Elephas maximus indicus: one gene and its partners. The protein of the gene in region 3 interacts with the protein of the main gene of each other region in a pairwise test. Links are inferred from orthologs where the notes say so. Each region holds a gene or a part of one and is shown on either strand. Other genes may lie near its edges. The genes, in order: BAG5, NCK2, TRIM27 and PSMB3.

Evidence for each region.
Region 1: the proteins of TRIM27 (region 3) and BAG5 interact in binary tests that used the Homo sapiens proteins (3 or more experiments, as listed by UniProt). The two-hybrid records come from large-scale screens. The link is inferred for Elephas maximus indicus from reciprocal best matches to the Homo sapiens genes TRIM27 and BAG5.
Region 2: the proteins of TRIM27 (region 3) and NCK2 interact in binary tests that used the Homo sapiens proteins (3 or more experiments, as listed by UniProt). The two-hybrid records come from large-scale screens. The link is inferred for Elephas maximus indicus from reciprocal best matches to the Homo sapiens genes TRIM27 and NCK2.
Region 4: the proteins of TRIM27 (region 3) and PSMB3 interact in binary tests that used the Homo sapiens proteins (3 or more experiments, as listed by UniProt). The two-hybrid records come from large-scale screens. The link is inferred for Elephas maximus indicus from reciprocal best matches to the Homo sapiens genes TRIM27 and PSMB3.

The regions. Positions count from the first base shown.
Region 1 is NC_064828.1:117,819,907-117,826,821, reverse strand, and holds the start of BAG5 (BAG family molecular chaperone regulator 5), read left to right. Parts: upstream 1-3,897; 5' UTR 3,898-3,990; intron 3,991-5,350; coding exon of another isoform or gene 5,351-5,464; exon of another isoform or gene 5,465-5,498; intron 5,499-5,738; exon of another isoform or gene 5,739-5,834; intron 5,835-5,909; exon of another isoform or gene 5,910-6,213; intron 6,214-6,915. Other genes in the region: cytochrome c oxidase assembly factor 8, read right to left, coding at 5,351-5,464. UniProt on the Homo sapiens protein: Co-chaperone for HSP/HSP70 proteins. It functions as a nucleotide-exchange factor promoting the release of ADP from HSP70, thereby activating HSP70-mediated protein refolding.
Region 2 is NC_064835.1:79,826,008-79,832,949, forward strand, and holds the start of NCK2 (cytoplasmic protein NCK2), read right to left. Parts: upstream 3,070-6,942; 5' UTR 2,899-3,069; intron 1-2,898. UniProt on the Homo sapiens protein: Adapter protein which associates with tyrosine-phosphorylated growth factor receptors or their cellular substrates. Maintains low levels of EIF2S1 phosphorylation by promoting its dephosphorylation by PP1.
Region 3 is NC_064819.1:85,514,608-85,522,625, reverse strand, and holds the start of TRIM27 (zinc finger protein RFP), read left to right. Parts: upstream 1-4,945; 5' UTR 4,946-5,324; coding exon 5,325-5,744; intron 5,745-7,004; coding exon 7,005-7,100; intron 7,101-8,018. UniProt on the Homo sapiens protein: E3 ubiquitin-protein ligase that mediates ubiquitination of various substrates and thereby plays a role in diffent processes including proliferation, innate immunity, apoptosis, immune response or autophagy.
Region 4 is NC_064837.1:46,318,391-46,326,313, forward strand, and holds the start of PSMB3 (proteasome subunit beta type-3), read left to right. Parts: upstream 1-4,839; 5' UTR 4,840-4,957; coding exon 4,958-4,960; intron 4,961-5,290; coding exon 5,291-5,475; intron 5,476-7,628; coding exon 7,629-7,736; intron 7,737-7,923. UniProt on the Homo sapiens protein: Non-catalytic component of the 20S core proteasome complex involved in the proteolytic degradation of most intracellular proteins. This complex plays numerous essential roles within the cell by associating with different regulatory particles.

The DNA of each region.
Region 1 (6,915 bases), on a different chromosome or scaffold from region 3:
AAAGACGAGAAGGCACGAAGGGACTGGAACACTGGATAAATGTAAACAGGGAACCCAGGGTGGAGGAGAAGGGGCGAGTGCTGACATATTGCAGAGTTGGCAACCGATGTCACAAAACAATTTGTGTATTAATTGCTTAATGAAAAACTAATTTGCTCTGTAAAATTTCACCTAAAACACAATTAAAGAAAAAAATTGATAAAATACATGGCAAAAAAAAAAAACTAGATAAAAAGGCAGACTGGGAAATGTATTTGCAACAGATAGAACAGACAAAAATATTGGTATCTGTAATAAAAAGTTTCTCTGAATTAATAACAAATAGAAAAAGGGCAAGGGCGAGTCATTGAAGATAAATTTTAAAGGGTCAACAAACATACGAAAAGACATTCAAACCTGCTAGAAGTCAAGCAAGTGAAAATTACACAAGGAAACTGCAGTTTTAAGGCACCCAATTGGAAAAGCCGAAAAGGGGAGGAATCACATCCGGTGCTGTCAGGGAGACAGGCCTTCCCTCGTTTCTGCAGAAGTGACCCGCAGCACCTTTTCTGAATGTGAAGGAGCCCTGGTGGCGCAGTGGTTAAGCATTCGGCTGCTCACGGGGTTAGCGCTTCAAATCCACTAGCCGCTCCACAGACGAAAGCTGAGACAGTCTGCTTCGTAAAGATCACAGCCTTGTAAGTCCTGTGGGGCAGTTCTACTCTGTCCTACAGGGCCACTATGAGTCGGAGTTGAACCCATGACAACGGATTTTTTGAATGTGATCTGACCATATCTAAAATGTTAAAAATCCATTCTTTTTGGCACAAGAATTCCAGTTTGGAAATCTATCTTACGGGAAAGTAAACGCAACAGTATGTAAAACCATCAAAAAAAAAAAAAAAAATGACCTCTCGATGCCAAGGGCTTGTATTTTTGTTCTTTGTGATCCAAAAATTGCTAGAAAATGATTTTTAATTCCTTAACTTCTGTGTACAGGACTATAACACATACATTCGTTGTGTCCATGCCTTACAGACTGTACAGCTTTGAGGAAGTGACTTTACTGTGCCTAAATTTACTCATCTGTCAAGTGACGATGCTAAAAGTAACTACTTCATAGAATTGCGAAGGTTAAATGCATTAAAATGTATAAAGTTCTCAGAACAGTGCATGCAACCGTTCAGTCAACGTCAACTATTACTATGAATGTGACTAAAACTCAGGACTGAAAATAAACATTACTTCATGAAACGTAACCAGTGGTTCTCAAAATTGGAGGGTTATTTGACTCACCCTCAAAAATCCTGATGTCCAGGCCACACCCCAGACCCACTCACAGGAGAGCCGCAGGGGGTGGGCCCCAGTTCTGTGTAAGGTCTAACCAATGGTTCCAAAGCACAGACAAGTTCAAGAACCAAGGATGCAAACTACACAGACAAGGAACAAGCTGCAAACACTTACGAGCTGAGTTTAAGTTGGGTTTGGAAGGGAGAATGGTGCCTAACTATCATATTTCTGTTAAAACTCGTATCCAGAGATGAGAAGTGGGAACAAAGCGTGCAGGTACTGAAAGCCAATCTCTTTAACTCAAGCAGAGGGCAGAGCCAAGAATTAATGAAAAACAGACGCAGTGTTAAAATGTGTATCTACTTAGATAACGAAAACAGTATAACGACCTGTCACTTTTGGGAAGACCTGACATTTACACTCAGCTCCTGAAAAACAGCAATCTCTCCCTGCTGCAGAAACTTAACTACCTAGAGAAACTGCTGTGCACTCAGGAAGCACACAAAGGTGGTGACGAAGGAAATACAAACTGCCCTACAGCAGAAACTGTTTACAGTCCATCCAGGATCCAGAATAATGCAGCACTCAGATCCTACATAAAAAACAACACGAGTCATCGCTACAGTTGGGCAGGTTCTGACTCACAGGCCAGCCTCCGTTTTTTACTGGGTCATCAGCATCACAACAGGTGTGAGCGGTCTAGCAAGTGCCCAGCACTGGGTTTGCCTGTAAGTCTCATCGTGAGGATCCAACCCAAGGTAAGACCGATTTTACCTTAACAAAAAGCCTGCATGACAACAAGGAAGCCTTGTCTGGGTGAAGTCCTTTTTTTTGCCCACTAGCTCACAATATTGGAGCCCTGGTGGCACAGTGCTTAAGCGCTATAGTGATCTATGGCTGCTAACCAAGAGGTTGGCAGTTTGAAACCACTCCTTGGAAACCCTATGCGGCAGCTCTACTCTGTCCTACAGGGTCACTACGAGTCTGAATCAACTCAACGGCAATGGGTTCAGTTTTTTTGGTTTGCTATGCAGGAGACCTGGGTTCAATTCCCGGGCAATGCACTTCATGTGCAGCCACCACCCATCTGTCGGTGGGGGCTAGCATGCTGCTAGGACGCTGAACAGGTTTCAGCAGAGGAAGACAGACTAGGAAGAAAGGCCTGGCAATCTACTTCTGAAAATCAGCCAACTAATCATGGGGATGGCACAATTCCATCGTGTATGGGGTCACCATGAGTTGGGGGCGACTGGACAGCAGCCAAGAACAACAGCAACAGTTCACAAAATAGGGAAGTGTGCCATAAGTGGCTAAGGCACTCTGCTGCTAACCAAAAGGTTGGTGGTTCAAACCCGCCCCGTGGCTCCACAGGAGAAAGATCTAGAGATCCACTCCGAAAAGATGGTTGTTGTTGCCGTTTGGTGACATTGAGTCGGTTCCAACTCATACCAACCCTATGTACAACAGCATGAAACAGTGCCTCGTCCTGCGCCATCCTCACAATCGTTGCTATGTCTGAGCCCACTGTTGCAGCCACTGTGTCAGTCCATCTCATTGACAGTCTTCATCTTTTTCGCCGACCCTCGACTTTACCAAGTGGGAGATTACAGAAAAGATTTTTACCTGATAAGATGACAGCCTAGGAAACCCTAAGGAGCAGTTTTACTCTGTCACATGGGGTCGCTATGAGCCGAAATCCACTTGACAGCACCTGACGACAACAAGCCCTCATTCTGGGGAAAGCTCTTGGTTGGTCTGTAGTTTGCTTTCCCAGAGCACACTCTGTTGTGAGCACACTCCTGCCCAAAGACTGAGTGAGACGCTGCTAGGCTCCTGCGTCCTAGGAACACAGAGAGGGCTGTGGCCACTCTGACAGGGAACTGAGCGGGGGGGGGGGGGGGCTGGGATCTGGCTAAACAACTGCCCTGGTGGCTCCTCGACTAAACTATAAACTAGACAGAACTTCAGGGCCAACGTTTATGAAAGTGTGTTAAGAGCCTGAGACCAACAGAAACGAACATCTCCAGGCAGGCTCACTTTGGAATTCTTAATTGGTTTTTTTTTTATCCTTCTTTAATTACTGTTTTAAACAAGCTGTCCAGCCTCCCTCATTAGCACCTTGGCAAATGAAGCGCCTATATATTTCCTTTACGTATTTTATCTGCAGCCTATTCCCCACCGCAGTCAATGTTTCCATTTAACAGCTGGAATCAAGCCCCTCCCCCACCCCGCAAAAAAAAAAAAAAAAAACAAGCCCACTGCTGGGGAGTGGATGCGGACTCACGGTGACTTATAATAGGATTTCCAAGGCAGTAATCTTTCGGAAAGCACACTGCCACATCTTTCTCTTGTGGAGCAGGTGGGTTTGAACCCATGTTTCAGTTAGCGGCCGAACTCTTAACCACTGCACCACCAGGGCCCCACTCAAAGCCTAGGCCTCCCTTGAACAAAATATCTTTCATAACAGAGCAATTTATAATTATAAAAACTGTCTGCCATTCTTTCTTGTACAGACTTTAATCTTTGTGGATTTTTGGCCAGCATACACGCACCTCATTTCCAAACCAGAAAAACTCTTCACCGTGAAGTCCTAGAGAAAAACAAAGGTCGCCATCGCGTGAGGAAAGGTACTAACAATCTTAACGACGCCAAGTCACCAACGAACAGGCAAAGATACACGAGCTTTAAACACGGAGAGCAGCTGTCCTCGAGAATAAAAAGGTAGGCACAGACTTGCTGGCCGACTCGGACTCGGCACACGTGATGACAGTCCTACTGGTCCACATGCACCCTGGTCCCCGCACCCAGACCACGGGGTTGACACGGGAACTGCGGGCCACGGGCTCACTGCGGGCCACCAGGTCACCTGCTGCTCTGAACCCTGCCTGGAGCTCAACTCACGCCACAGTGGGGGAGACGTGAGGTGCAGGGCCAGGCCGCCTGGAGGGGTGCAGGGTGGGGGTCGGTCCCGAAGTGTGCAGGGTGGGGGTCGGTCCCGAGGGGTGCAGGGTGGGGGTCGGTCCCGAGGGGTGGGGGGCTGGGGGGTCGGTCCCGAGGTGTGCAGGGTGGGGGTCGGTTCCGAAGGGTGCGGGGCTGGGGGTCGGTCCCGAGGGGTGCAGGGTGGGGGTCGGTCCCGAGGAGTGCAGGGTGGGGGTCGGTCCCGAGGGGTGCAGGGTGGGGGTCGGTCCCGAGGAGTGGGGGCCTGGGGGTCGGTCCCGAGATGTGCAAGGTGGGGGTCGGTCCCGAGGAGTGGGGGGTGGGGGTCGGTCCCGAGGGGTGCAGGGCTGGGGGTCGGTCCCGAGGGGTGCAGGGTGGGGGTCGGTCCCGAGGGGTGCAGGGTGGGGGTCGGTCCCGAGGGGTGGGGGGCTGGGGGTCGGTCCCGAGGAGTGGGGGGTGGGGGTCGGTCCCGAGGGGTGCGGGGCTGGGGGTCGGTCCCGAGGGGTGCAGGGTGGGGGTCGGTCCCGAGGGGTGCAGGATGGGGGTCGGTTCCGAAAAGTGCAGGGTGGGGGTTGGTCCCGAGGGGTGCGGGGCTGGGGGTCGGTCCCGAGGTGTGCAGGGTGGGGGTCGGTCCCGAGGTGTGCAGGGTGGGGGTCGGTCCCGAAGGGTGCGGGGCTGGGGGTCGGTCCCGAGGAGTGCAGGGTGGGGGTCGGTCCCGAGGGGTGCAGGGTGGGGGTCGGTCCCGAGGGGTGGGGGGCTGGGGGTCGGTCCCGAGATGTGCAAGGTGGGGGTCGGTCCCGAGATGTGCAAGGTGGGGGTCGGTCCCGAGGAGTGGGGGGTGGGGGTCGGTCCCGAGGGGTGCGGGGCTGGGGGTCGGTCCCGACGGGTGCAGGGTGGGGGTCGGTCCCGACGGGTGCAGGGTGGGGGTCGGTTCCGAAAAGTGCAGGGTGGGGGTCGGTCCCGAGGGGTGCGGGGCTGCGGGTCGGTCCCGAGGTGTGCAGGGTGGGGGTCGGTCCCGAGGTGTGCACGGTGGGGGTCGGTCCCGAGGGGTGGGGGGTGGGGGTCGGTCCCGAGAGCTGCGGCTCGGACGCCTCGTCCCTGACGACCACTCCTTCCGGTCCAAGCTCTCGTGCGCCCCGCTTACCCGGCTGGGCGCCGCATCCCTGCGCTCTGGGGCGAGCTGGCGGCGGTGGCCAGCGAAAGCGCGGCAGAGCTGGGGGAAGAGGGCCTTACTCCTGGGCCCCAAGGCCGCCATCATTGGCGTCCGCCCGGCTCCCGCGGCGCACGACAGAGGCGCGACGGCGTCAGAGACCGCCTTACGGCAGTGTCGCAAAGACTAAGGCGAGGGGGAGCGCGGCCGACCGTGCGCTTTCCCGGCGGTTCGGGGAGGCGGCTGCGGGCACCGCGGGGCTGTGGGCGAAGGGGTGACGGGCGCTCCTCGGCCGCGGCCTCCTCACGCTGTCGTGCACGCGGCTGGCGGCGGGCCGTGGGGGGGCGCCGCGACTGAGGGACGGCTCCCCGGGGCTGGGGGCGTTCGGCCCGGGGCGGGGCTGCGGCGGCCGGGCGGAGGCGGGAGCCGCAGAGGCTGCTGAGGCGGCGGCCGGAGCGCGATGGAGCGGGCGGAGCAGGTGAGCGAGCGGGCGGGCTCCCTCCCCGCCGGCCGGGCTCCCTCCCCGCCGGCCGGGCTCCCTCCCCGCCGGCCGGGCTCCCTCCCCGCCCCGGGCCGTGCCGAGCGCGCCGCCCCCTCTGCCGCGGCCCATTGTGAGGTCAGGGCCGGCGGGCGCGTCGCGGGACCCGGGCCGAGGCCCCCGGAGCGGCCGCTGCGGCCAGTAGCTGCCGCCGCCCCGCCGGCCCCTGCACCGGCCGCCCCGTCCAGACCTAGCCGGGAGGGGCGAGAGGGATGCAGCTCGGGGCCCCGCTCCGGCGCCTCACCCCGTGAAGGGCCGCCCGGCCACCGGCCAGCTCCGCGCGGGAAACCCAGGCGCCGGCAGCCCCGACCGGCTCCGGGTAAAGGGCCCGAGGGCCGGGCGGGGACGGGGGCGGGGAGGGCGGGCCGAGCTCTTCGCGGGAAGACGGGCTGCGCTGCTCACCGCCGATGCCGCGTTCCGGGGGGTGTGCTGGCGGGGGAAGGGGCCCGAGCCCCCCGAAGCCGCAGGCGGCGCCTCTGCAGGGCGACTAAAGGGCGGGTCGGGACCGGGCTTGGAGAGGCCCGGAAAGGCAGGAAGACGGATGTAGAAATGGGGACTTCGGGGGGTGTAGGCCCCTCCGGGGCCTGCCTAGGGGCTCAGGTCCTTTTGCTCTGAGTTACTTTTTCTGGAAACCAGACATAGCTGTCTTGGAGGGATGGGGTGCTTGGGTGGTAGGGTTTATGCTGCGTGACTTTCCCTTCCGTGCATTCCGCAGGTGCCCTGCTCATTCTAGCGTTAACACCCCAAGTATTTGTGTTATGCCGAACTGCTTGCATCTTATAAAGGCAGACGTAGGCGCCTCTCTTTTTACGATGGCTGAAACGCGACATCCGCAGGCCCCGGGTTCCCCTGGACGCGGCAGTAACCACTGTTCCTAATAGCTGCCAGGCTGGGGGGAGGGAGTTGGTATGTCACTCTCCTTGCTGTACCTGAGCATAACTGTCTTCTGGGTTGCGGTAGGGACAAGCCCCTTCTTTAAGTATGTCTTTTAATTAATGTGTGATTGCCATTCTTCAGAGAC
Region 2 (6,942 bases), on a different chromosome or scaffold from region 3:
CTCCACAAGCCGCGTCTCCCCCAGTGTATACTGCAGGCCTGTCTGAGCGATTAGAAGCATTTGTGTTCTATACAGCAGCACAGCCCTGGCCTAGCCGGGGCAAATCTAGCTAATGTCAGTGATAAAGGAAAAGATTCCAGGCGATCAGGAAGTCTTTAGAGTATTTTAAAAGGTTATCCAGTCTGCGCACATGCAGAGAATTTCCAGTGCTTTAACATAGATGATAATTCATTTCTCAAACACTGTGTACGCAAGAGCTGCTGCTTGTTGGAAAACAATAACCCCCTACGCAAACGCCAGAAGGTGAGACTGACAGAGAAGATTCAGGATGCAGCTGTATAACGATTTGACCAAAACTTACCATCGAGCAAAATTCAAAGCCTGGAAACTGAGCATCAAAAAAACTGAAAACCAGGCCCACTGCTGCCCAGTCAATTCCGAATCATAGCAGCCCTACAGGACAGAGTAGAACTGCCCTGTAGGGTTTCCAAGGAGCAGCTGGTCAATGCCAACTGGTGACCTTTTTGGTTGGCAGCTAGCTCTTAACAGATAGGAAACTGAGCACAGCTATTTAAAATGCACCTTAGACATGCCTCACCCACCTAAAAAGTATGGGTTTCCCCCCTCGTGGACACAGGGCTTAAGGAGCAGTCAATTCTCCTATGGCAATTTGCCACCAGCTACATCCTGAATTCTGTGACAATCCAGTTCAGTGTTTACCCAGCAGCTAAGAAGCTCAGGCCCAGGTGCAGAGGAAGATGAGTAAGGCACCTCCACAAGCTTACAACTGGCTTCAAGTTCTGAATTCCAGCATGAAGCCGTCCTAAGACCACCATTAAGATTCTGCCACTTTCTTCAATCAAAACTACATCAAACCAACCTTGAGGAGAGAGAAATATCGAGGTGTGGTCACTTCTTCACAAACCGTGTTCACACCCACTCGTCAGAAAATCTGTCTCCAACAACATCTAAAAACCAATTTATCTATACCAAACCAGGAACCGTGGTGGCGCTATGGTTAAGCGCCTGGCTGCTAACCAAAGGTTGGTGGTTTGAACTCATCCAGCAGCTCCATGGGACAAAGACCTGGTAATCTGCTGCCATTAATGATGACAGCCAAGAAAACTCTATGGGGCAGTTTTCCTCTGTCACAAGGAGTCACCATGAGTAAAAATCAACTAGACAGCACCCAACAACAGACCCAAACATCCCACATTTCTTCTCCACGTTTACCACTGATTATCATGAACATTTATTTATATAAACCACGCACATGCTTGAATTCTCTTATTTGCCCTTTACCTAGGAACATTTGGCGAGTGAGTTACCAGTGTGTTCAGAGGCAAAGTTTACTTCTGTTCTGATAAATTAAAGCAGCCCCAGGTAAATTTCATTTTCACTTTTTTTCCTTCATTTCTTAAGACTGAGAAGTACTGTTTACAACTGTATCAAAAACAGTGGCACAAAGCACACCCCGAATTTTCATTCCTACACAAAATCTACTTCAAGAAGCCAGGGCTGTCCTGGGACTGGGGACTCTCCTACCTGTGGGTGGAAAGGGAGCCACCTGGCCAGAGTGCAGCTTCTTTATGGGTCAATGGAAGGAGACGGACTTGATGCTGGTAAGCCTTTCTTGCCCAGCACTGGGGTTTGCTCGCACTATGCAGAAGCCAACTGATTATGGAGAAGCCAACTGATGGGGTGAAAACTTGGCCGAATGGACCTTAAACCTCTTCGCAAAATAAACAAGCCAAATAAAGGGGAAACTGCCAAACCGAATTGTCTGAAGTGGCTGAGGCAGACTCCAGGTACATTACTGCTTTGACCCTGAAGCTGTTAAAGTGTTTATCTTAAGTCAGGTGTCTGACGTTCATCAGCCAGTGACCCCCAGCGTCCCCCGCAGACCTTCCACGGTGATCTTTATTGTCTACAAATTAAAGCGTTTTGCAAATTAAACCCCTCCATACAATATCCCCCAAAAACCAAGCTGGTGAGGGAGTTACAGTCAATGCCTTAGGAGTCACACACCAAATTCTTCGGAACCACTTCGTACTTAAATCGTCCTGAATAAGCCAGGAGAGCAAAGCTGTGATGAGAAACTTTGGTTCCGGTGGCTGTAACAGAATCAAGTAAATCTGGGACAGGACACGGCTGAATCCGCCACAAAAGCGCCCTTCGCCTAGGCGAGGACCTCTTTTATGCGATATGACAGCAGCTTTGTGCGGGGATTCATAAATAGTTCCAATAAGGACAGTAAGTTCTCTCGGCAAAGCTCGGCCTCCCACGTCCCCTGCGCAGGAGCCCTGCAATCCAGGGCTGTTCTTCCCGAGGACGCACGCGCCCCAGCGACCCCGGCCACCCCCACGGGCCTGCTGTGACCCCGAGGAGGACGCACGCCCACGCCCGGCCCCGAGCTTCGTCCCCGCAGCTGGCTCGGAGGCCGCTTACTCCCTGCCTGCCCGGGGCTCCCCAGCTCCCCGGGTCAGTCAGTCCCAGCTTCGCGGGGTCGACCGGCAGCCCCCGGCTCCCGCACCCTCCTGCCTGCCCACGGCCAGTGCCCACACTCCAGGAGTGTCGGCGGCGAAGGGGCCCGAGCCGGGCAGGCGAGAAGAAAGGTGAGGAGTTGCGAAGTGCGGCGCCCAGCCCTGCCCGACCCCAGGGGCAGACAGCGCGGGGCAGGGGGCGCCCCAGGCCGCGCGCGGCAGGGCCCGGGGACCCGGTGGAGAGGGCAGAGGGAACCCAGTCCCCCGAGTCCCTTTCCAGGCGCAGCCCCGCCCCGCGAGCCCCCGCCGCGCTCCCAACTCCACGGAACGGCCACAAGTTTGCGGCGGCCGCGGAGCCCCCGCGCCCCCGCGCCCCGAGCCCGTCCCGGCCGTGCTCCCCGGCGGCGGCGCTTACCTCGCGAAGGGGTTGGCCGGGCCGCCGCCCGCCGAGGGCAGAGAGGCAGCCGCGCGCGGCGCCGCCCGGAGGGCCGGGCGCGGGGGTCCCGGCGGTGGCCGCGCTCAGCACCCGGGAGACGCCGCTCTTTGTCTGCGCCGCTTCCCTCCTCGCGCCGCCGCCGGCCGCTCGCCCCCTCCCGCGGCCCGGCGTGCGCTGCCCCGGCCCGGCCGCCGCTGAGCCCTGTCGCCGCCTCGGCCCTGCCGCGTCCAGGCCCGGCCGTCCGCCCGCCCGTCTCGCCCGCTGCTCCGCGCCTCGCTCGCCCGCCGCGGCTCTCAGCCTGACGAAGCCCCGGCGGCGGCAACCCCTCCCCCGGCGCCCAGCTCCCGCCTCCTCCGCTCCTCTTCCTCCTCTGCGCCCTCCCTTCGCTGCCCTCTCCGCCTCCTCCTGCCGCTCCTCCCCCGGCCGCGCCTTGACGCCGTGCGGGGCGGCCGCAGGCCCCGGGTGCTTGGGGCGCCGGCCGCCGAGACCCACCTGGGGGCGCCCGGGCAGCACAGGGCGCGGCCACCTCCTCACAGGGTTCTCCCGGGCCCGCCCCGCCGCCCCGCGTGCGATCCGTGCCCGCACCCAGCCTCCGGCCGCCTCTCCGGGACCGGACACCGGGCAGGCTGTCGGGCCCGGCCGGGGGCCCTGTGGAAGATCGGCGGCCCAGGGCCTGGAACGCTTAAAAGAATAGCAGGGACGCAAGGGAATACTCAGCCTGGGTGGCGCGCGAGCCGCTTGGCGACGGGTAAATACTGGGAGAAACGCGGTACCATGTGCGGAGAGAAAAGAAAGTACCTTTACCGTTGGGAGTGAGGCACGAGAATGAACATAAGGCAGCAACTTCCAGCCTTAAATGACTGGTAGGGTCGTCTTTCCCATCCTTTTAGTTCGATTTTCTTATCAGTGCACTGTTTGGCCACTGTCCCCCTCCCGGAAGCGTCCCCAAGGCACTCTGCAAAGCAGGTCTGTTGTCCATCAGAAAAGTGACTTACATAAAAATGTCACTGCCTCCCAGTAATTGCTTTTGGATATTTTTGATTGTCTTGCATCTGTTTACACTCCTAACCAGACAAGTTTTTGCTCCATCATCCCTGTTGGAGGCACTTCCTAAGGGGAGGAGAGGAAACCCAAACTCTGCTGCCTCCCCTGCATCGTCACCAGCTCGAGCCAGTTGGATTCTGGTTGCACACTCACCCACGAGGACAGAACGCCATAAGGAGCTGCCTGACTGTGGGCCCAGAAGGAGTTGTCACTAGTGGGGGACTGGTTCACTCAGCACCAAGTTGCCGCTTACCTGTAAACAAACTTGGAAGCTTAAAACCCCGGAGGAAGAGCAAAGACAGAAGTTTCACTTTCGCAGGCACTTGCGTGCAGATGTCTGTTCTCCAGTCCCCTTCCCATATGGCTTCCCAAAGGAAACCTGAACATGCAAATAATCCTGATGTCCTAGTGGGATGGCATGTCTCCATGTTAAGATTTTTTCCTAGATTCTTGGCTTCTCCATTATTATTAAAGCAGTAATGATCTATCCAAAGTGACGGGGTAGTATTATTTGATTCACAAATCCCATCGCGTTCCCTAAAGGAAGTATCCAAGGATAGGTAACTAGAGTCAGTATGGTTTTGAAGTCAATTCAGTGACTGTTGGTTTCCCCAACTGTGTGACCTTGCACAAATTATCTCTTAACCTTTCTACGCCTCAGTTTCTTCCTCTGCAAGATGGGAATGTAATGTTAACCCACCTGACACAGTCCCTGGCAGTAGGTGGTGCCCATTAAGCAATCTCTGGTGGGAGGGGCTAGGGGAATCAGGACATCTTCATTCTTCTCTGCAGTGATGCTGGAAAAAAAGCGACCTCCATTCATCCTTTAAGGAAAGCCTGGTGGCAGAGTGATTAAGAGCTACAGCTGCTAATCAAAAGGTCATCAATTCGAATCCACCAGGCACTTCTTGGAAACTCTGTGGGGCAGTGTCCTGTGGGGTCACTATGAGTTGGAATCAACTTGATGGCAATGGGTTTGGTTTGGATTCATCCTTTTGTGAAAACCTTGTTTTACTAATATTTTGACTAGGAAGAAGGGCCTGGCAATCTACTTCCAAAAATCAGCCAATGGAAACTCTATATGGATCACGATGGCCCAATCACATTGTGCATGTGGTCACCATGAGTCGGATCTACTTGACAGCAGCTAACAACAACAACAGCTTTACAATAAGTAAAACAGAAGTCCAGTCATGGTCTGGCCCAGTTTTAAATGAACGTACTCAAAATAAGTATAATGATATCAACCTAGTTTTTACTTGTTTTGTAAACTTTGACTGAATCATGGATGTGTGAACTTCACCCAGTGTTTCCTCTTCTTCCTCTGGTAATTTCTTAAAGTCACCCACGGCGTTCTCTGTCTAAACCCAGTGGTCTTTTCCTCAAACGTCATCCTGTACAGTTTTCTGAAACGTGTCCTTTCTACTATATTTCAAACATGATCATCTTTTCATTTGTCTAAAATGACTAATTCTGATTCTCTTACATTTCTGCCCACCCATCTGTCTCTTTGTGGGGTATTTTGACTCCCCAACCTGTAACCGTAATATTCCCAAAGCTGACTTTGGCCTTTTGTTTTTATTCTGATTTTTTTTTTTTTAAGAGAGACAATGGTTTTTTATATCTTGCAAGCTGGACTTTCAGCCAATAACTCCTAGCTCTGTAGCCTTAGATACCTCCTCAGCCCTGATCTCTTACCTACACTCCAATGCCTTACTATCAGCGGCCCAGAAGACCTCTCCTGTAGGCCACTCGTTGTCTCATCAAAGTCAGCATGTTCAGAGTGAACTCATCACTTTTCCGAGTTAGCTCCTTCTCCCACCATCTCTCAGGCTTGCCCAGGAGTGCACCATGCACCTTGGCTCCCAAGGTAGAAAGCTCATGCTGCCAGGACTTTTTCATCCCCACTGTTTTAGCTCTCCCCAAGGAAAGTAAGGAGGCGGCACTAGAGGACATTAAGATCGCTTTCGGTCTAAACTCCTGTGATTCTGAGTCCTGTTGATTCTTAAACATCTCTTTGATAGTACCTTTCTATTTCCAATGCCACCATCCTAATATTTATATCATTAACAATAATTGTAATGTGTATTTATTGAATTCCTTACATATATTATCTCTAACTCACATACAATATTATCCCCATTTTACAGATGAAAAAATTGAAAAAGTAAGTGCCAGAGCTGGGAACAGAACCCTCATGTTCTTGACTCTAAGTCTCTTGTTCTTTCCTCTTGTACCCACTACCTTCCAACTCGCCTCCCATACCTCACTTCCTCCCATCCCCCAGATTTACATGGAATATCAATGTCTTCCTAGCCGGCTTCTCTCTTGCCCCTCCCCTTGCACAAAAGCCTCTCATGGCACCTGCACTAAGCAAGTGGCGCTGGGCAGATCCTGCCTTCATCGTTAACTGCAAGGTACGGATCAACTGGCAGAGGCAGAACTGGGGTATGGCTGGTATGGCAGGTATTGTACCACCTGTGGGTGCTTGGCACCACTGAAAGTTTCTATTAACCCATCACGACCAGCGGCTACCTACAGAAAATGGCGCCCCTGCCCAAACATCTGACACCTTTCTTTTAAATAACTCTATTATAATAAAAACCAAAACCAAACCCATTGCCATTGAGTCGACTGACTCACGGTGGCTCAATCAGCTCAAAAATACAAGTCAAGTTTGTTCATCTTTTAATTAACACGTTACTGTGCTTGAGGAGGAAACCCTGGTGGCATGGTGGTTAAGTGCCACAGCTGCTAATCAAAGAGTCAGCAGTTTGAATCCGCCAGGTGCTCCTTGGAAACTCTATGGGGCAGTTCTACTCTGTCCTATAGGGTCACTAGGAGTCGGAATCAACTCGACGGCACTGGGTTTGGGTTTGGGTGCTTGAGGAAGTACGTTGGGCCGTACCGAGTTAACAGAAACTGTCCAGTGGCTCCATGCACCCAGGACCAGGGCGATACCCTAGACATGCCACCGGC
Region 3 (8,018 bases):
TTTACAAGTCCAAACCAAAGGCCAGAAGGCCAATTTCATCTTGCAGACATGATTTTAAGTTTCATTAAGTTGCCAATATTTAAAAGTCAGCAAATTTCACATAAAACTTCAGATTTCTGCCTTCTTGTGAAAAATCTAAAAAATTAGCAATATGCTGGGCCCTCATTCCCAGATGACATTATAGGCTAGTGATGAGAAGTAGCCTCTCAGGAGGGACATCTGTCTTCCAACTGGACACCGTCTCTACCTTTCCCTATTGTGTCTCTGGCCTCGTCTGCTCACTTAAGTTACCTTCTTGCCTCCAGTCAGTATTTGTGTTTGCACTACTGTCATTTTGAACTGCCAACCTTTCAGTTAACACCCAAGAGCTTAACCCACTGCACCACGAGGGCTGCTTCTGACATTTTACAGATAAACAAATAATAAGAGTTATAGTTTTTCTGTTTAAAATGGATGCGTGCATTACTCAAGTTGATGAAAAGGAAAATGCTATCTGACTCTTGGCCAGGAGGTATCATAGCATCTACCCCATTGTCCCCTAACCTGGAAGGTGGGAAAATGGCACAACCGTGAACATGTGTGAGGCAGAAGATAATCAGCTACATTTTGGGTGTGTCGATAGCTTGAGATGGCTGGAATGGATAACAGAGATGCAGAGGGCAACCAGATGATAGTACTGAATAAGTGACTCAAGAACAACAGAAAGCAAAACACTTGATAACATTAAGTATGATTCTTCATAAAATGCTGCTGCTGATTAATCTGCCAACTGTATGTATTCAATGAAGGTACAGAGGTTGTGCTAAGGGAATAGAGAAAAAAGATTAGGGACCATCAGAGAAGAGAGATGCCATGGCATTTGAGTTGGGCCTTAAATGATGGAGACCTGGGGTTTGGGACAGACAGGCTGAGGGGTTGGCATGGCAAAGGTGGAGAATTGACTGGGCCAGAGTGTGAAGCAGGGGATGGGGACACAGAAAGGCCAGAAGGCCTTAGTAACTGCAGAGCTAGGATTCCAGGTAAAGAAATTGGGCATCTATTCTGCAATAAAGCCAGACGCCCTCTGCGATTTTCTAAGAAAATGAGGGCAAAATCCAAAAAAAAAGTAAGGGTTATAAAGATGAGAGATATACATAAAACGTGACAGTGGAAGCATTAAACTGCTAGTCTAATAGTTCAAATATTTATGGGCTTTTGATATGGTTAGAGGTACGTGTGAGAAATAACAGAGAACATACAAGAAGGTCTGATGAGGAGTCCCTCCCCTCATGGACTTAATTATGTGAGCTTGGTTTCCTTATTTATAAAGTGAGTGTATTAGACTACGTGAAAGCTAAAATCACTTCCTGCTCTAAAAATATGTCCTGATTTAGAGCTTTGACAGAAAAGCAAGAGTTTCATGCAAGGCAAAGTCAAAGAAAGTCATATGATAGAAAATAAGCAAGTGCCTTGTGAGGTTCTGTGTGAACACAGGAGCCTAAGCGGAAAGAAGAGAAATCAATGAGGCCAGCCTTTTTCAGATAAGCTCTAAGGATGGGGTGGGATTCTTGAACAGGCCTTGTAGAGAGGGTTGTGGCAAGACTGGAGGTGTTGTTTGAGGACAGTGAAGGTATCAGCCTGTGTTGGAGGCTGGAGGTACTCAGATGGGACACCATCTTAAAGGATTTGGACAATGTCCTAGAGACAAAAAAGGAAGCATTGAAGATTTCTCAGTAAGAAGTGGCAGAATGAAAGAAGCATGTTAGGGATGTTTAAGGATGATTCTTTCCCTTGAGGTGGTAATCACTAGAGGAAAAAGTAACAGACTAGAGGAAAAAACTAGAAATAGGGACACTAATAGGAAATGGTTGCATTTATCCAGTTATTAATTCATTTCAAAAACATTTGTAAACTGACTATTGTAATAACTTAAGTCAGGGTGTGGTGATTGAAATAAAAATGAATAGAGGCCAAGTTGAGCAATAAAAGCAAAGCAAGAAAAAGAAAAAGAAAATTTTTTTCAAAATTCCAATAAGTCTAGAAGATAAAGGAAAGACAATAAAATCATTCTTTCAGCAAACTTTTATTGACCATTAGCCACATGCCAGGCAGTATTCAAAGTCAGACAGAGTAGAGTTTTGCTCCCAAGGAGCTCTCAGTTCAGTGAGGGGAACACACAAAGGAATGCAGGATGTAGTGGTAAACAGTAAGTGAGCTCTCACAAGAATTCTGTGAGTAGGTAGAAAGGCTTCACTGCATTTGAGAGGAATCTTAAATGTTACCTAGACAGAAAAAGTGTATGTGACAAAGGCTTTATAAGCAGATAAACCAGCAAATTCTAAAGTAGAGCATCTGATCCCTCTTATCTCAGGGATACAGACCTGTAGTTTGGCTTTGTTTTTCAGAATTGATGGTGTTATCAACTCCTTGTCAACCCCAGAGGTGGGTTATGGATAAAAAAAAAAAAAAAAAAGGAAAGGTGGGGTAAAATAGGTAGGTTGAATGGGGATGAATGGGGATGGGTGAGAGAAAGGGGAAAAGGGAAGACTTGCACTTGGTAGTTTCTACCAAAGGAGCCCTGCCGGTGCAGTGGTTAAGCACGCAGCTGCTAAATGAAAGGTTGTGGGTTTGAATCCACCAGCACTCAGCTGGAGAAAGATGTGACAGTCTGCTTCCATAAAGATTACAGCCTTGGAAACCCTCTAGGGCAGTTCTACTCTGTCCTATATGGTCGCTATGGGTCGGAATTGACTCATATGGTGCACAACAACAGTAATGTCTACCAGCCCATTTCCTTCTTGAATATTCAAAATGCCAGTGACACCTTAAAAATGGCCACTGTGGCCGCCTGCACCGTGAATTTAAACTCTTTTAGGATAGCGGAGATTGGACCATGGGCCGGGCCTTAGGAGGCCCCAGGAGCTTGAGACTCAGGGAGAGGTGTGTGGGTGTGGAAGAAAACACTAAGCTGAGGGAGCTTGATGGTCATACCCATTTCTGAGTTGGAGACATAGAGAGCTCTTACTGTTCCCACCCTGTTCCCTTTCCAGTGTGTCTCAATTGAAGTGGCAATTCAATACTCATTATTTCTGGCTAGAACCCAATCTTTGGACAAATCTAAGTATTTGAAGAAAGATATAGTCAATGTATCAGTTTTTACCGGGGGAACTACCATTTTCCCAGCTGACAGGCACAAAGCCACTCATCTCCCTACCACAGTTTCTCCTCATTCTAGTTTATCCTTTGTTGCCTTCAGTTATTTTCCTAGAAAACAAATTCTGACCTGTGGAAAAACTGCTGGTTCCTTGTTCCTACAATACCGAGTTCAAACTTTCAGAGAGTGACAGACAAGGCCCCTTCATGGTCTAGCACCAACCGCCTTCTCTAGCCTTGTCTCCATTGCTCGCACACACACACACACACACACACACGCACACACACACACTACACTTCAGTTACACCAAACTTCTCACATCCCATAAGTGAATATAAGGCTTTTCCAGATGTTTTTTAGAAGTGGGCTGGGGCTATCCGGAACTGAAATTGCATACTGGGATACTCAAAAGAATGTGGTTTGGAAGGGGGATATGGGCTTGAGGTTGGCAAGTCCAGTTAGTCTGGTCGATGTCTTGCCCCATAAGTGAGGAGGACCAAAGTGGAACTTTTAAAGTGAGGAGTAGGAAGCAGAGGCCCCTCTTGCTGGTGTACAAGGATGATACTGAGAAAATATCTAAGGAAACTAGGAAATAGCAAGGTAGGGATGAAGGAGCAACACAAGAGCTTTAAGTCTACTAGATGAGAAAAGGCCTGCTGGTGTAGAGGTTAAGTGTCTACGTCTGCTAGTCAAAAGGGTTGGTAGTTCGAATCCGCTTGGTACCCCTTGGGAACTCTATGGGGCAGTTCCACTCTGTCCTTATAGGGTCGCTATGAGGCGGAATCGACTCGATGGTACGTACTGGGCTTGGTTTTGGTTCTTTTGGTGGACGATGAAAAGAGAATGGGCATTGTGGAATTCCAAGGGCTTGGGTCACTGCAGGTTTCTCAACCTTCCTATGCTTTGGGAAGGAACAAGCAATTTTTTAAAAGTTCTACTCAAAACAACCTTTAAAACCCTGTGGAGCAGTTCTACTCTACGCACGTGAGGTCACCACGAATCGGAATTGACTCCATTGCAACCAACAACGACAACATGCAGTAGCTATTTTATTGCTATTTTCATAGTAATTAACCCCATTGCTGTCGAGTCGATTCCGACTCATAGCATTATGGTTCAAAAATAAAGGTATAATAAAGTCTCCTTCCTCACTAGGGGTACAGTTATCATTCCCATTCAATCGGGCGGGGGGGTGGTGCGGGGAGGGGAACTATAAGCCCAAAACCGTAAACCAGCTTGTTTGGGCACAGACGGAAAAGTAGCAGAACTGGGCTTGTCTGACTCCATTTACAACCCACAGAAACGATAATTTGCCTAATAATTAAGCCTTAAAAAAAAAAAAAAATCCAAGAGCCTGTAAATGGAGCTGTTCGATAAAGTGTATCTGTCTCACATATCGGGTGGGGTGCAGTCGGTTCCCCCCGTCCCTCCGCCCCATGGGGCAGGCCAGATGTCTGTGCTTCCCAGATCCAACACAAAGCCAGCTTTCCCTCTCAGGAGCTGAGGCCTCGGCACAAAAGAGGTAACCCAACAAAAGACTAGGGGTCCAAGACCGGGAAGGAGCGCGGAAGCTCGGAGGTGGGCCCGAGCATGAAGGCTGGGGTGACCCTGTCACTGCTGCGCCCGGCGGACACCGCCTGCCCCTGTCACAGGCTCCCGAGGCTCCTGCTCCAGCGCGTTCCGCCCAAATACCGGCGGCCCCGCCACCCAGTCCTTTCTGGGAGGAAACAGTCCAGGCCTGGAGGCCACAAAACCCTGTCGCGCTCGGGAGGCCCGGCCCAAGCCCCGCCCCCCCGAGCCGCCTCTTCCGTTAGCGCCGGGGTGGGGTCTACACGGCCTCGGGGATCCGCTAGAACGAGGCCACGTTGTCCTGCGCGCTTAGCGCGCCTGGCCCCGCGAGTCCGGTCGGCTGCGCCCACTTCCTGGACCCCTTGCCTCGGTACGGGTCTCCGTGGGACCGGAGTGTCCCGGCGCCCACGCAACGGGGCGCCGAGAGGGGCCCCGCCACTTCGAGTCTCCAGCGCGCGGGCGCGACCGGGATCTGCGACCAGCATCTGGGCCCGGAAGGCGCCGCCCCGCTCACCTCCCCGCGCGTCCTGAAGTGGAGACCCGTAGGGAGCGCAGTAGAGTGGGGCTCCGCGCAGAGCTCAGCGAAGGGGCCCATGCCCGTGCGCCCCCGCGGGCCAGCGCCATGGCCTCCGGGAGCGTGGCCGAGTGCCTGCAGCAGGAGACCACCTGCCCCGTGTGCCTGCAGTACTTCGCCGAGCCCATGATGCTCGACTGCGGCCACAACATCTGTTGCGCGTGCCTCGCCCGCTGCTGGGGCGCGGCCGAGACCAACGTGTCGTGCCCGCAGTGCCGGGAGACCTTCCCGCAGCGGCACATGCGGCCCAACCGGCACTTGGCCAACGTGACCCAGCTGGTGAAGCAGTTGCGCACCGAGCGGCCGTCGGGGCCCGGCGGCGAAATGGGCGTGTGCGAAAAACACCGCGAGCCCCTGAAGCTGTACTGCGAGGAAGACCAGATGCCCATCTGCGTGGTGTGCGACCGCTCCCGCGAGCACCGTGGCCACAGCGTGCTGCCGCTCGAGGAAGCCGTGGAGGGCTTCAAGGTGAGGGCCCGGCGCGCGGAGCGGGGAGGGGCGGGGAGCCGGAGTCGGACAAAGGGAGGAGAGAGCCAAGGGGGTTTCCTTTTTTCCGCCTAGAAAATGGCTGAGCCGGACGTGTGGTTCACAGCCGTCATTTCCTCTCTGTCCGCTTCAGAGCCTTCGCACTCAGATTTGGGAGAAAAACCTGTAGCTGGTGAGGAAGCCAGAAGTCTCCCCCACCCCCCACTCTGCTTTCCCTGTTATACCCCTGTGTTTACCCGCTCACGGACACGTAGTGTATAAAGACGGCCCCCCGTAGAGACCTCCCCACGCTCCCACCCCCCACCCCCACCTGGACATTTTGAAAGGTGTGAGGAAAGCGACATACACATCAGCCACCTTCAGAGACACAAGTACTCCTGTGGGCTCTGATCTCAGACAGAACACACCCGGAGGTTAACTGGCTGTACATACATCGAATCAAGCCTATAAGCATTTCACCAGCACTTCCCTGTGCTCTGGCCTGTTCTACAAGCTCCTGGAAAAGAACAGAGCACTTTACTGCTTGGGCAAGTCATTTAACCTCTCTGAGACTCAGGAGGGTAACAACACATTATTATGAAGATTAAGTGAAATATGTGTGGAGCCCTTTGTGAGCTGTTGGATCAACAGACTGACACAGCTAAACACTAACATGGAAACAAAGTATTAAATATAAGTTTTAAGGCAACATTCAGGGAATGCATGATGCTGTGATACCTGTATACTTGAGTGCTGCAGGGATACACAATTATACATGTTTAAATGTGAGTACATTAATACATAATTTGCCACTTAATGTTTAGAGTGCTTTCACTTAATTATTTCACTCACCTTCATGATAAACACTGAGTAGTTTGGGAAGGTGGTGTTCATTCACCCATGTTATAAAAAAAATGTTATACATGGGGAAAATAAGAGAAGTCATTTTCTCAGGATACCTCTGTGGAGGAGTTAGTTTGGCTTTAAGCCTCTTAGTGCAGTCACCTTCCCAACGAAACTACAGTATCCTTCCTGGGGAGAAGGTAATCCACTGTTTAAGATACACACAAACAGACAAAGGAGACCCTTGGTGCCCCCCTGGGTTCTTGGCCTTTTTCTCCGTGGTGGCAATGTGGTCTAAAGACAGGCTCTAACCAGGGTCTTGGCATGAGGTGTGTGGGTTCCATGTGTGACATGCAGAATAACCATGATGATGCTAAAGTTTTCCTAATCCTGAACTGGCAACTGTCATGGTTTCCTCAGGAGCAAATCCAGAACCAGCTGGACCACCTAAAAAGAGTGAAAGACTTAAAGAAGAGACGGCGGGCACAGGGGGAGCAGGCACGAGCTGAACTCTTGGTAAGGGTCATCACGAATGATGGATAATATTACTTCTGCTGGCCAGTCATTCCCTCTTCTCTGGGCTGATGCTACTTCTGTTATCTTTGTTCAGCCAGGTCACCCACAGCTGTTAGGTGCAGTTGGGATCTCATCTGGACACCTAATAGATAACTAAGCTTATTTCCACATTTTGGGGAAAGGATGGAGGAACCAAGGTGGGAATCCCTGGAGATTCTGACCTTCAAAGAAGATTTAACCTGCTAGCTTTGTATAGATCAGCATTGATCCTTGACAGAGCTGAAACAGGTGAAATTTGGGGCATACTTAGCTTCCTTTCATATCATCCTGTAGACAGGAGCTAATAGTGACTTTGAGTAAGCCTTGCTGTTGCTTCTTGCCTGGAATATTCCTATCCTTGACAGTTTATCAACTCTGAACTTTTCATTTTGCTCTCTTCCCCCATCCTTCCAAAGCCTTGCCAAGTAGCTCATGTGCTTATTTCTGATAGGAGTATTTGGGCGTTTTGTTTTTGAAAAAATATATACATGTATATATCAAAAAGTACAAAAACTTTTGCAACACACACTTATATTTCCACCACCCATGTGTTTATACTTTTTTATGGGCAATAATTAAAATAGTACAAATATTCTTCCAGTAGAGATATTTGCATCTGAAAAGCAAACTCCTAAACTAGTAATGTCTAGTCCTGTCTTGTGAGAATTTTTGTTAACTACTCCTAGCCATGGTTGCACAGTGGTTAAGTACTACGGCTGCTAACCAAAAGGTTGGCAGTTCAAATCCACCAGGCGTTCCTTGGAAACCCTATGAGGCAGCTGTGCTCTGTCCTATAGGGTCGCTATGAGTCGGAATTGACTCGACAGCAATGGGATAGGTTACTCCTGGCCAGGGTATGGTAGGTAAAGCTTTTAGGCA
Region 4 (7,923 bases), on a different chromosome or scaffold from region 3:
AGGGAAGGGAGGGGAGGGGGGCCGCAGCCGTGTCGTCCGCTCTGGCGGCAGGAGGGGAGAAACCTAGCGTAAGAAAGGAGTTTGTGAAAGCGGCTTGGGGTGGGAGGGCGAGAGGGGAGGGGAGGGGACGAAGGGGGGAGGGGAGAGACGGGGCTGGAGGGGGGACAAAATGGCTTTTTTTCCTCCAGACAAGAGTAGGTCCCGCCCACTACTCACCCACGTGACCTCATTCCTTCAGGGTGTTTGCGGAGAGGAGAAGAGGAGGGGGAGAGGCTAGCGCGGCGGTTCCCCACCCGGTGCTGGCCCCCTCGCAAGTACGGACACGACCCCTCCCTTCCCAAACAGCCCCCTTCTGCGACTGATGGATGAATCCTTGTCTCTGTGACCCCCCGCACTTAACCCCCTCCCCCCAAAATTTGTGTGCCTCTTCCCCTCCACTGGCCCTGCGATCCCCGCCCGGAGCTGGAGCGCCTGGGATATAGTGAAATGAGGACTAGGCTGCACTGTGGCTCACTCCGCAGTCTTCCAAGCCTCAGCCTCGACCTAAGGGCCCTGGGCCTTGGGCAGTGGACGCGATGCCTCCGCCACGCGTCCAGGTTATTTTCATTCACTCCAAGTTGACACTGCTTTAAAATTAATAACTGCATCTATGAGACTGAGCTTGTCCGCTCCGCACCCTTTTGCCCCTCTCAGCAGCTGGATCAGTGGCTCTAAAACACCTTGCTCCGGGTCCCAGCCAGGGCGCCTCGGGGAAGAGGCCTGGCGCTGTGGGGTCCCCTCTCTACCTGTGTGGCGCCGCGGGGGAAAAGGGGCGAGGTCCTAGCACGCTCTGGCCCGAGGGAGGAGGTCTCGTGGTTGGGACTCGGTTAGCTGTAGTGGCGGAGAAGAATGGAACGCAATCTGGGCCCGGGCGACCAACTAGCTGAAAACGGACCGGGATACAATAACTCGGGCGCAGGCGAGAGCCACAATGGCTAGAAAACGAGGCGCAGGGGCTCGAGGCTGGGCCCGCGCTTTTTCCTGCCTAGCACCGGTTCCCGCATTTTCCGCCCGCGCACTATCGCGGGGTGGCTGTGCGCTCTGTGCGCCTTCCTCGCCGCCGTGGCGGGAGGAGCCCGGGGAGCGCCCAGGCGGCTGGAGCCAGCTGACTCCGACCGTCGCTCCCGGCTCCACTCAGCGCTCGGGCTCGGGTCCCCAGAGGCTCCGGCCCGGGAAGAGAGCGAGCAGGGAGGCTTGGAAAAGCCAGGAGGAGCTGCTGAGACAGGCGCCGGGGAACCGCATAGATATTATGTTACGGCCACGGTCCGTGGGGCTCAAGAAGACGGTCGATTCTTTATTCAAGATTTTTCAGGGCTCGACGCCGTGTCTGTCGGTCAAAAGAGCTGGATTATCCGCCCAGAAGCGCCATTAAGCGCACCGGCGGTTAGTGGCTCTACAGGAAATTAGGAAAAGAAGCTTCGGAGCGTCTGCCTACTCCTTTTCTTCCCTACTTGCTCGCAGCCCAGGGGCCCCGGACCGAATGCTTTCACCCTCTGGTCGGCAACCAGAAGACTTGCAGACACCGGCCGCCAAGCGACCCCAGCGTCAACCTCAGCCCACACGGGCTAAATGGGGGCGGGGAGGAAAAGGATGGGCGGGAGAGATATCCGTCCAGAGTAGGTGGCCCGGGACCCGCGGGAGAAGGGCCCGGAAGGATCCGGTCACCTGCTCCCCTGTCACTACACCGGGTGGGGGGCCGCGAGTTCACCGGCCCCCACAGGAGAGGGGGCTCTTGGCGTGGGCACTCCCACTGTCCCCACGGCAAGTGTGTTGCCCGCATCCTAGACTCTGCCAGGGAAGACTCGCGAATCCTGCTCTGTCCCCAGTCGTTCTGTAAGGGTCAACTGGGTGCGGCAAGGACTCCCGGTCTGCCCCCACTTTGGAGTTAGAAGGGGACTGGATTAAGAGAAACCTGTAGGGACCTTGGGGAGACTTCAGTCTACGATCCACAACGGGCACCTAGGGGCTGCCCCTGGGGAGAGTATTAGCTAGTGGGAAAGGGGCTGACTGTCCCTGTGCGTCCCCACTATCGTCCATTAATCCTGGAGGGCCGCCAGAGGGGGCCAGAGTTTACTGGTGGTCCATTCTCTTATTCTGCAGACAATCATTAACCGCCACCAGAGAGGAGTATGCTGAAGACCTCCCACTACCCAAACCTAATTTTTAATCTTTTTTTTTTTTTTTTCCAGTCCTCATTGACCAGTCCCCAGGTCACTGGCCTTTCTGGCTTAGCAGGAGAACCTTCTGACCCAACCCTTCCCACACATGAAGTTCTTTGGTTTTCCAGTCTTTATTCCATTAACTGACATAGAAGCACCTGTCATGTACCAATGTCAGCCACTGTGCTAGGAGCAGGGGACACACAGGAGGGATACACAGTGCCACTGGAGCTTATGGGGAGGGCTGTATTGCTGGCCTTTAGAAGAGTGACCCTCATCTTAATGAGCATGGATGAGCACTGGGAGGGCGGTTTAAGCAACATGTTGAGAAAGTACATCTTCGGAGGGAACACTTGACAGGGAACTGCTTGAGAGAGACCTTGGTTGTATTCTCCCCCACAAATCTGGTCCTCCTGCCCAGTGCCCTGGGATGGCCTCTGGCAGACATTAAGAGCCAATGCTTCCCTCTTGATTTTGTGTTAGTCGTAGTACCTCGCAGGGTCCTCGTGCTGACAATTATTCATCAAAAGAGTCACTGCGTCAGTCAGATTAGAAACTCCAAGAGGACAGGAACCCAGGAAGTCTAGGTAATTATTTCCAGCACACACCACGAGCTACCGTAAGGTGAAGGCCCCTTCAAGATGGTGATGATGTCAGGAAAGGGCAGCTTCTCCTTCTGTTTTGACTGTCTACCTCTCTCCAGGGTCGCTATGAGTCAGAACCAACTCTTTGGTTTTTTAGGTTTTACCTCTTTGCGCTTTAGGTAGATCCTTCTGTCTCCCCAAAACAATATCCTTTGTCAGTTTCTGCTTCTATTTCTCCGTCCTCCTCCCCACTTCTGCGTGCACATTTCTGGGGAAAAAAACATTTTGTTACTCTTGTTTTCCTTTTTCTGATGCTTGTGTTAAATGCTTCTCTTTTCCCTCTCTCCATTTTCTCCGTGGGGCTTCCTCTCATTCACCCTGCTTATTTCCATTCTCTCTGTGTGTCTCTTTCTGTATATCACAGCTGTGTTCTTTCTTACCTTTCTCTTCTTGCCTCAGTTTGTCTCTGCCAACCTCTCTCTCCTTAGTCTCCTCCCTTCCAAATGTAATATTTGGAGATTGTAACATCGATTGAGGCAGACAATGGGAAATCGTTCAGCCTCCAGTGCAAATTTATTCTTATGAAAAATACAACCTGAAACGTATTGCACGGCCAGACAAAAACCTCTGTCTTTGCCTTTCCTGCAATCCAGCTTGGGGGAGGGAGGGGTGCGGTGGAGGGAAGTGACGGAGAAATTATCCCATTTACTTATTGAACAACAAAGAATTTTCAACAATGATTCTCTGATTTGCTATATGAAAACTGTTGCCTTTGTCGTTTCAGTATGAAATTTCATTCTTCAGGAGTTAGGAGCAAAAAGCTCAGTTTTTACCCCCCTCTTAGTGGAAAGGAGTATGTATACTCGGAAAACAGGGGGGAAAAAAATACACACACACAAAAAAACCCCACAAAACCGAAGCGTCCCTGGGTGGGCTCGAACCACCAACCTTTCGGTTAACAGCCGAACGCGCTAACCGATTGCGCCACAGAGACCGCGGTAGTTATCGAGTGGCTGTGAGTCAAGTCAATGGGAGCGAGGCTGTGACGGCGCAGAAGCTAGACCTGAAGCCCGGTAATGTGGTGAAAGGAAGCCGGACCTAGGAGAAAAGGGGAAGGGGCCTGGTACAGGGCGGCGGCGGGAGGGCAGGAGGTGGTACGTACACACCTCTCCTCCATTGACCCCGGGCAGGGTCGGCATCAGTTACCCCCGGAATCTACCTTCGACGTGAGGAGACCCGGAATGTTCCTTTTGAGGGTAACCTGAGACTTGGGGACATGTGAAGCCGGCTGGCTTGGGGGTCTCGAAAAGCGGAACAACCTCCGGACTCCAAACCTCTCCTTTGCAGCTGAACACCTGCAGCAACAAAATACTCCCGACACCCCCCTAACCCCGTACTATTAAATATGCATTTAATAGTCGCCTCCTACAGCCTGGGCACTGTTCTAAGCCAGTGACTGTCTAAAGCCTGACACAGCACCAAGAGGTCTGGTGGTGCAGTAATCAAGCTCTTGGCTGCCAACCCAGAGGTGGGTAGTTCGAACCTACCAACCGCTCAGCGGGGGAAGCTGTGGCAGTCGGCTTCCGTAAAGGGTCATATTTTACAGTTGGAAACCCTGTGGGGGCAGTTCTACTCTATTTTATAGAGTCGCTAGGACTCAACGGCAGTAAGTTTAGGGTGTTGAGCATAGTGCCTGGCACACGAAAGTGCTCAGTAAGAATTTCTGGAATGAGTGATACCCCGGATCCACACAACATGCCGAGAAACGTTACCCGGGGGTCCTTCCGCTGGCCCCATAGCCCGCCACCCCAACCCGCCCCGCCCCGGCCCTACCAAATCCTTGCTACCCCAGCCCACGTGCGGCGTGGGTCCCGCCCCCCGCTTTAGGCTCCAGAGTTCGGGTCCGCCGCGATCCCAGCACGCACCGCGACGCAAAGGCTCTTCCGCACTAACAGTGACTTTTCACTTTCCTCTCCCCCCGGCTTTGGCCTCTCAACTAAACTACGTAGCGCTGGTGAGTGACAAGGATCCAGAGCCAACCGGAAGCCCAAATGGCCCGGAAGAGCTGGCCTTCTAGCCAATGGAAAGAAAGCAGCGAGAGTGGTTGCTCAGTGAGGACTGCTGCGGGCTTACTGGGCTCACGGCGGAGTTTGGGGGTCTTGTTACACCGCAATCATGGTGAGATGGGGCTCGAAGAAAAGGGATACGGGGTAGGGACTGAGGAAGGAGGAGGGGGGCAAGGGAGGCTTGGGAGGCATAGAGAGCCTGGTGGTCGACGGACAGAAGCGGCTCCAGTTTGAAGGGGAGCGGACCGCGTTGAAGACCAAGGGGGGTGAGTGTGGCTTCTCGCAGCCACGCAGGGTAATCTCAGAGCTGGAGTGCGAGGCGTCCAGCCGCCCCCACCGTGGAGGATGGGGCGTATAGGAGCCTCCGGAGCAGGGGCTGGATCGAGGGCTATGGTCACATCAGGCCCCCCAGCCTGAGCTGCTTCGCCCCTGTCTGCTCCAGTCTATTATGTCCTATAACGGAGGGGCCGTCATGGCCATGAAGGGGAAGAACTGTGTGGCCATCGCGTCCGACAGGCGCTTCGGGATTCAGGCCCAGATGGTGACCACAGACTTCCAGAAGATCTTTCCCATGGGAGACCGTCTGTACATCGGCCTGGCGGGGCTCGCCACTGACGTCCAGACTGTGTAAGTGTCGGGGTCCCTGCCCACGCCCAGGCTTTTTCTAGGACCAGCCTTGCTTAGCGCCTTGAGTGGTCTGGGTGTCCGTTATCTACTTAACATGTCCAGTATCTGAGACTTTGGCGGACATCCTAGCAATATGAAGAAGCCCTGGTGATGCAGTGGTTAAGTGCTTGGCTAGTAACCGAAAGGTGAGCAGTTGGAACCCACCAGCCACTTTGCTGGCAGAACGATGTGGCAGTCGGCTCCTGTAAAGATGATGCAAACTAATGAGTGTCAGAGCCAGGGTCCTAAGGCAGGCCTCTCTGAGACCAAAGCCTGTCCTTAAAGAACTGCAGATCTAGTTGAGAGACAATACAGAAAGGTAACTAACCCATGATGAGTTGGCGCATACTAATTACCAGGTTATTTAGTTGACAGTGGTTATGTGACTTGAGAGAAGGAGGCTGGGAGGTGAAATAGGTAGCTCTTGTGATGGCCCAGATGTGGGGGTTATGGTCCTAATGGGGTGGTTGTGGCAGAAAAGCAAAGGAGTGGGTTTCTGAGAGTTGTTGCTAGCAAGCCTTAGTGGCTACTTGGATGTTTTGAGACCAAAGAAAGTCATTTATTAAGGGCAGGAACCATGTCTTTATTATTTTTGTATTCTTACTGTGTAGAACAGTACCTGGTATATAGACAATCCATAAATTTTCTCACAGGTGATTTCTGTTTTGAGCATGTTGACTGAAATATGGGAATTGGGAGGACTAGTTTGAGGGAAAGATGATGACTTTGATTTTTGACACCAGTTTTGAGGTGACAAGGCAAACCAAGTAGAAACGTCTTGCAAGCAGAGTTTTGAAATTATATCTCAGGAATAAAGAGGCATTGATGATTTATTAAATCTATGGGAGCAGAGTCTAGAGAGACAAAGTATGTAGAGGGAGAAATAAGCTGCAGTTCAAAAGTTGGACCTTATATTTCACTGGAGGAAGAAGAGAAGCCAGAGGAGAAGGTGAGGGAAAAAATCAGGGTAGGGTTTCAAGGGGGATGATGTGGTCACAGGTGTCAGGTGCTTCAGGAAGGATTAGCAGCAGTCCCTGGGCTTTTTTTCGTAGAAGGTCAAGAGACTGGTTCACTAATGTCAGTGGAAGCTTGACGGAAAATTTTCTCTCATTTTCTTAAAGTTCCCTAAGTATCAGGAACGTATATAACTTTGAAGTCCTTCCCAAAACCTAACCTAACCTGCTCTTTTTCCTCGGTAGAATCAGAGAATTACAGTTTAGGGTTCCCTCCAGTGTGAAGGCCCCATCAGCCTTCCTCTCTCCAGCCTGCTGTTCTTCTCACGCCATTTTCTTTTCCTCAGGAGGGTTTTCTCAATGTGTTTGGTTGCTTGCGGGCAGTAATTGCTAGTTTCTCTAGGTCTCGGTTTCCTCACCTATAAGATGATGCTAAAGTCACGTCCAGGGCTCTTTCCAGGTCTAGTGTCCTGCAGCTCATAGCTTTGCCTCTGGCAGGTATGGCTTTGGTCTGCTCTGTGCAGGGGACTGTCCTGGGGCTCTGAGTTGGTGCTGGAGGAGGGAGGAGGTGTGATCCTTTTTCCCTTCCAGCCCATTTATGCAGCAGCTGCTTGTTTTTAATATGCATAGGACTTTGCAGTTTTCCAGTACCTTGTCATATACCCATACATTATCTCTCTGCCAGGGTATTTATTTTATTCCATTTCCTTACGGATAAAAAGGTTAAGTGGGAAGATGAAGGCTTAGCCTATGTCTGTGCTCTCTTATCCATTGGTCTTACCAGTATAAGTTTTCTGTGACTTTATATCTGCAGGCACATACCCCATAAAAGCGTGGAAGGAGCTGCCCATTTTATTGTAGATAAATTGTACCTCAAAAAAGAGGAAAAAATTCATTTCCTACCTCCCCACCTCCCAAAAAAAAAAAAGGATGGGAAGAAAGGTTAGCAAAGCAGCATCTTCGCAGGGGTAAGTGTTGCGGCATGGAGTCCTGAACATGGAAGTGAGACTAGACTTCTGGTGAGAAAAATTGAGGAGAAGAGAGGAGTCTTGGCAGGCATTGAGATTGTATGCCTACCTGCTTACTTCCTGACTTCCACAGGGTGGACACTAGGAGACATTCAGCAATGACTTTCTACTTCATTTTTTACTCCCACCACAGTGCCCAGCGCCTCAAGTTCCGGCTGAACCTGTATGAGCTGAAGGAGGGTCGGCAGATCAAACCTTACACTCTCATGAGCATGGTGGCCAACCTCTTATATGAGAAACGGTGAGTAGAAGTATAGCCTATGGCTCCAGGACTCTAGGAACCCAGGAATCTTGACTGGGGGCCAAGTAGGCCTGTAGTGTTGGTCACGGAGCGGGGAGGAATTCCTTCTTGTTCTCCCACTTATTTGCAAGACGATATCCTTATTTTATGGGCCTGGTCTCTCTGGGCCTGTCTGACAACCAAATAG